2 linked regions of the Drosophila melanogaster genome follow. The protein of the gene in region 1 interacts with the protein of each later gene in a pairwise test. Each region holds a gene or a part of one and is shown in the gene's direction. Other genes may lie near its edges.

The links.
Region 2: the proteins of SmD2 (region 1) and SmF interact in binary tests that used the Drosophila melanogaster proteins (3 or more experiments, as listed by UniProt).

The regions. Positions count from the first base shown.
Region 1 is NT_033777.3:6,344,412-6,347,977, reverse strand, and holds SmD2 (small ribonucleoprotein particle protein SmD2), read left to right. Parts: upstream 1-2,066; 5' UTR 2,067-2,205; coding exon 2,206-2,207; intron 2,208-2,341; coding exon 2,342-2,699; 3' UTR 2,700-2,967; downstream 2,968-3,566. Other genes in the region: CG18048 (uncharacterized protein), read right to left, coding at 460-1,785; CG17919 (uncharacterized protein), read right to left, coding at 2,968-3,447.
Region 2 is NT_033778.4:12,183,142-12,186,007, reverse strand, and holds SmF (small ribonucleoprotein particle protein SmF), read left to right. Parts: upstream 1-1,697; 5' UTR 1,698-1,818; coding exon 1,819-2,085; 3' UTR 2,086-2,164; downstream 2,165-2,866. Other genes in the region: CG13175 (uncharacterized protein), read right to left, coding at 2,787-2,866. UniProt on the Drosophila melanogaster protein: Plays a role in pre-mRNA splicing as a core component of the spliceosomal U1, U2, U4 and U5 small nuclear ribonucleoproteins (snRNPs), the building blocks of the spliceosome.

The DNA.
Region 1 (3,566 bases):
TTCTAATAATCCGATTCTCCAAAATATTGTTCATGTTGGTAAATTTAAATGTAATAAATAGTAAAAGATAAGTTCAAAATAAGCTATGTCATTTGTCAACATTTCCGTAACTCTTTTTTGTAACAATATATAAATTTTGCATGAACATTTTATGGTAATGACACCATTTAAATTGTGCAAAATAGCTCGATATAAAAAACATTAATTCTACAACTAAAAAAAATTACCTATGCGGACCGCTTCAATAAAAATGTCTTCCTAGCTAATAAATATTTTAATAAAGCGAAATAAAAATATGACATTGCATTTTCCTAGTTAAATATTTTTCGTCACAAAAGATGACATCAGAACATTTTTATGGCGATGGTGCGATCGTCACTAGTTTTTAGTAAATAATGAAAAATTTAAATCCAGGAGCAGGATATGAATTAAGGAAGGAGAAAAGTCATTTTACTTAAGTCAACAGCATTTATTTTGGTCCAGCTTAGGGCTGGTCGGTCTGGCCAGCAGAACCACGTTTTCCAAAGTCACATCCCTGGGAACATAGAACTTAAGTTCTGCTTGATATCCGTGGGATCGTAGATGCTCCAGTCGTCCATAATCCAGAACCCGCTTGCACTGTTGGCCAATTTGTTCGCGCTCCTGGCGAGTTAGACGCTGCGTGTTCGTCTCGGTGAGCTGAAAGTCAGCCGATTCCATGGCCTTACGCCGCTCTCGGCTTAAGCCCGTGCCACAAACTGCCCAACTGACCATTTTGGTTAGGATAACGAACTCCCGTGGTCCAATTCCAGCTTCCTGAAGAAACTTGCGTCCCACGTAGGAGCGCCAGGAGCAGCGATGATGACAACACAGGGCGATGAGAACGTAGTCCGAGCTGGCATTTCCATCACCGAGTATACATCTCAGGGTCAAGTCTGTAGCTGCTCCACAGAGGTGCTTCGAAAAAGCCACCGTTCGTTGGGTTTTCTTTAGCTCCGGCAGAGCAGAAAGCTTAAGATCAGCGATATCAGCACGGATACGTTGCACCACCTCCCTGTTGGCCAACTTGTTGTCCTTCTTGTGCCGCAGGGACATTCGATCGATGAGGACCACCTGTGAGTGACTCAACTTCTGTTCCTGCAATACGGTGGCCAAAAAGTAGGCCAATTGTCCCTTTCCGGCTCCGAATTCTATATAGCTCGTGTGATCCATCAACTGGTGATCGTGTTCCAGGATGCCCAGCAAGCTAGTGGTCTGGGTGAGCTGGCGTAGCGTTTCCTGGCCGTAGTCCTTGCGACTAAGTTCCTCCTTTAGGGATTCGTGCTCCAGCTGCAGTTCCTGTATGCTGGAATTGATGTGCTTGTCATACAGATTCTTAACTTTGTCGATCAGACTGTAGAACTCTTCATCCGCCAGTTCGTGCAGTTTTATTTGATTGAATTTGTTCAAATCTTCGTCTGTTTCCTTAAGATTGTCTCCAGAATTCACTCCTTTTACAATGTAGGGCAGTGAACTTTCCTGATCCCTGGCATTGCAAATGGTCAAGTGTTTGGCTAGTTTTCTTTTAAACACGGTATGTTTGTGATCAAGCGGGCAGGGAATACGTTCCTGGAAGGAATCTTCTCTAGCTTTTTCATCGCAAGTTGCAGTGGTGGCTGCCGATGAGGCATGGGCTCCACAAAACTCACTGCCCTTGTTTGCAGTCATCTTGCAGCGGCGCTTTTTGCGTAACACCCAGTAGGAGCAAGTGGTGGTTACCGGCTTCTCCGCCTTGACAGTGGTCATCGTCTCTTTCACAGGTTCCATTCGTTACTTTTATTTTCAAAATAAATTCCTCCCAATTCGGAACTCGTGCCAGGCAGTGTGACCAAGGCTGGCACACTAGATAACACTATTACCAACTTTTCACAAAAATGTTTTAACTATGGTCTTAAATATGTTTACACTTCTTACATTGAATATTTTAATAAGTTTTTTAATAAAAAACTCAAATTGAGCTTGATTTTTCAAAATAATAGTTTATTTAATTTACGCGAATGCCAAACGCCGATAGTTAGCTTTGAAATTCAGGGCTGGTCGAGTGCAAACGTCCTCAGAGCTGGTAACACTGCAAAAAAAACGAAGCCGCGCTGAATACTTTTGCCAACAATAAACGCAGAAAACCAACTGAGAAGCGAAACAAGAAGACTATCAACATCATTTAACAAGCCATAGTTATAATCCGCTATGTAAGTATCCCGGGGCAGATGGGACAAACCATCGGAAATGGCGTAACTGGCAGCGGCATGTGCGCCGGCATTTTGCATTGTTAGCACCACGCTCGAGTTGTGGGTGAAATACTAATGTACTGTGTTCTCTGCAGGGCTCTTGTGAAACCGAAATCGGAGCTGACCCCGGAGGAGCTGGCGCGGCAGGAGGAGGAGGAGTTTAACACCGGCCCGCTGTCCGTGCTCACGCAGTCCGTGAAGAACAACACCCAGGTGCTCATCAACTGCCGCAACAACAAGAAGCTGCTGGGCAGGGTAAAGGCCTTCGATCGGCACTGCAACATGGTACTGGAAAACGTGAAGGAGATGTGGACGGAGCTGCCGCGGACCGGTAAGGGCAAGAAGAAGGTGAAGCCCGTGAACAAGGATCGGTTCATATCGAAGATGTTCCTGCGAGGCGATTCTGTCATCCTGGTCCTAAGGAATCCCCTGGCCACGGCGGCCGGCAAGTAGTCTACCATAGCGATAGCGTACAGCAACCAATATCCATCAACTTCAGTTAATAAATCCGTAAATCAACCAAATAAGTTCTGTGGACCAAAATGTGCCATTAATTAAAAGTGTGAGCTATAATTTACGACGGAAAATATCCCATCCCAGTAACATATCCCATTATAAATTTGTATAACGAAAGTACAATCCGTAATCGCAATTTCTTATATTTTGATTAACATCTTTTAATCGATTTTTCCTAAAGTATCTGTTTAAGATTAAAACGGAATCAATTCTCCGAAAGTTGCTTGTGCAGTTTTGGAACATAGTCGTCGTACTGGGCTTGGTAGAAAGTTCCAGCAATGGGATTGCCCAACTCGTGATTGATGGCAAACTTGGCGGCACTGAATTTGGGGCGATCCTTGCGGGATCTCTTGCTCACGCGCTCCTCGTCGAACTCAAGTTTGCCGGACTGCTTGTACAGCAGGAAGACGTAGCGATGCAGACCCGTGCCCTGGGGCGGGCCGGAGCCAATGTACTCGGCGATGGGCTCACCACTTGCCAAGTCGTTGCCGGCGATGTTGGCCAGAATCCAGTGCTTGAACTCGCGGAACTTGGGCTCCGCTCGGCTGGGGGCATCGGGATCCGTCATAATGAGCGTGTAGAACTCCCCGGGCTGCGCGTCCCACTCCACGACTGGCTGATCCTTAACCTGGGTGGGCGTTAGCTCCACTCCATCCTTGGCCACCAGGTTGTTGCTGTACGTGACCTTGAATAGGAACGATTTCACAGTTATTTGCTTGATTTTTACATTGTTGCGATCTATCAGCTACTTTACTTTAAGTTAGCTACCTTCTGACCTTTGATCAGAAAGTTGTGACGAGATAT
Region 2 (2,866 bases), on another chromosome or scaffold:
AAATGTCCAAAATATATTTCTTAGAAACCAGTTCTCTATTTATTTTAGTAACAGTAACAGTAACCAAGTAATCTTAATTTTCACAGTTGCCCTCAATTCCATATTAAGTGTGGTTTTTTCAAGGATATCACACTTTTTCAAATTAAAATATACAATTTTGTATACCGAATTTCATAACTTACTTTGAAAATATACAGGTTTTTTTAGTCACACAATTTATTTGCAACTGGCCTAATTCGCAACAAGTTTGTCCAGCAATTTCAAGGAAACTTTTATTGGATCTATAAATTCTGAGCACCCGCGTACACAACCGACAATTAAAGCTCTACGCACCGCACTTGGGGCGATTTGAAATGTTGTTTGCGTTTTTATACTCGAAAGTCTCAAAAGTTCTGAGATAGCAATTTCAAGTGCATACTTATAAATTCACCTGTGTGGTGGAAAAAGCTTTAAAATACGACAAACAAACCACAGCAAATCCAGAGGGACTCTAAGATAATTACAAGTCATGATTACATTTATTATAATGATTCTTAGTTTTAACAACCTTATTTACTTTTTGTGTGCTATGGTTTAGTTAGATTTTTAAAAGCGTTAACGCAATACATATACGATATGAAAAGTATTGCACGCTATAATCTATAAATAATTAAACACAACCGGCTTTCTCGTCAAGCTTTTGATGCATTTGTGAATTTCATTATTGTTGCGTTTGCTGCTTTATAGAAACAATTGCAAAATGCCTGGGCGAAATGACGGGATCAAATAAATCTATCAGATAGCTGCGTTCATAGCCAAGTTCCTTGAGGTAGAGCAGGCGATCCAGGAGAATTAGACTCTCCAGCACCGGAGCAAAGGACATGCGCAGCAGATAGAACAGATCCAAGAAGTATTTATGCACGGCATATTCCTGGAGCAGGGATTGAAGTTCTTCTTTCTCAACAGCTGCCAACCAGGGAGCATCCAATTTGGTGGCACACTTTTGAATGTACTCCTCGAAACTCTCGAATTTCCGTACCTTGCCCACCTGCAGTTCGTTTTTCAGCTCCGGCGCATGGCGGCAAACCAGAATCTCCAAGAGAGCTCGATAGTAGAGCGTTACATTAGGCAGCTCCTTGGTGTCCAAGGTGCGTTCAATTGACTGGGCCGCCAGCATCCGCGCATTGCGACCCATTCGCACTTGTCGCTCCCGCAGGTACTGACTCAATGGGAATCCATAGTCTGTTTGCAGCTCCATCAGGGACTTATTGCCAAAGAACTCCTGCTGCGAATAGCGCTCCCGCAGCAAATGATAGCAGCAGCCAACATTACAAAGCAACCGGCAGTCCGTTTGGGCGTGGAAAACCTGAAGACAGGTGGCGGCCAGGTTGCCACAGGTATGCAATCCAGTAAGGCAAATGTTTGGACTGTCTTCCGGTCTAAACTGAGTGAAATTCTCCGCCAGCAGGGCACCAAAGTTAAGTTCGGTGGTTATAAACTTTGCCGTTGTCTTGTAGTTTTCCAAGGCAGGCGCACTCTTGGTGCTCTCCCTGGCTGGCGACTTTTTACCACGTCTCTTGGGCGTGATTCCCTGGACTTGCAGCTCCGCTCGTTCCGTAAGGCCATTCCAAGCGCGCTGAAATTAAATAAAATTTTAATTTTGGCGCTTTTGAATGGTTTTTCAATACTCTTCTTCTATGCTATTCTTCTTCTTGTTCTGGTATGTTTACACAGCGCAGCTGTGGTCACACTACACAAAAAAAACGCGAAAAGCCGGCGATTTTCGGCACGCTTGTTGTAATATTTTATAAAAAAGGCAGGAAAAATCAAATAAACAGAATGTCGGCTGGTATGCCCATTAACCCCAAGCCCTTCCTGAACGGCCTGACGGGAAAACCGGTGCTGGTGAAGCTGAAGTGGGGCCAGGAGTACAAGGGCTTCCTGGTCTCCGTCGACGGCTACATGAACATGCAGCTGGCGAACACGGAGGAAGTGATCGAGGGCTCCGTGACTGGTAATCTTGGCGAGGTGCTCATCCGCTGCAACAACGTGCTGTATATCAAGGGCATGGAGGACGACGACGAGGAGGGCGAAATGCGCGACTAGCCAATGGATTCACCTACATACACCCACACCTTACTTCTAAGTCTACAAACGTAATGAAATAAAGCTAACTTTATTTTGTAAGCCCGGCCTACCTGCAATTTGCGATTCCTATTCAATGCGTTCTCGGTGTTTGCCGCGTTCGCATCGATGCCGAGCACGCGGTGACCATACTGGAGCGCCAAGCGCGAGGATAAATACCCTTTGCCATCGCCCGCGTCTACAATGAAGCAATCTTGACCGGAGTTCTTCACAAGCTGGTCCACGAGAACGGCTGTTAGATCCACCTAATCGGAGAGATTAATCAATTCCTAAAATACTCTCATTTAAAATGGTTGGTTTACTTACCTCATGGCACTTTTTGGCGCTCATAAACTCCCGAATGCTTAGCTGCGTGGAGTTCCCCTGACCCTCTGAAGCGACAGGCGTTCTTGTTTGCTCTTGCCTAGGAATTCTCGCCATGCCGGAAACCTTTCTGATTCATCAGTTTTCCAAAATAGGTCTTCTATGGCCAGAGCCACATCTTCCTTGCCGGCGATCTCACTTTTCAGCGTTTCGGATAAAAAGCCGTCCCAGTGCTGGTCCGTCAAGTAGTTCACCATGTGGCAATTGACAAAATCCCAGTGCGGATTGAGGAAGGCCAGTAAGCCATCCAGACGCCTCTGCAACTGCACAACTCCCACCTTGGACATGGTGCTATAAGGCTAGAAGCTGTAGTCCTTGTGCTCGACAGAATTGGTCTCTGCAGGCGCTGCACCAGGCGTTTTTTTGGATCCCAGCTGGG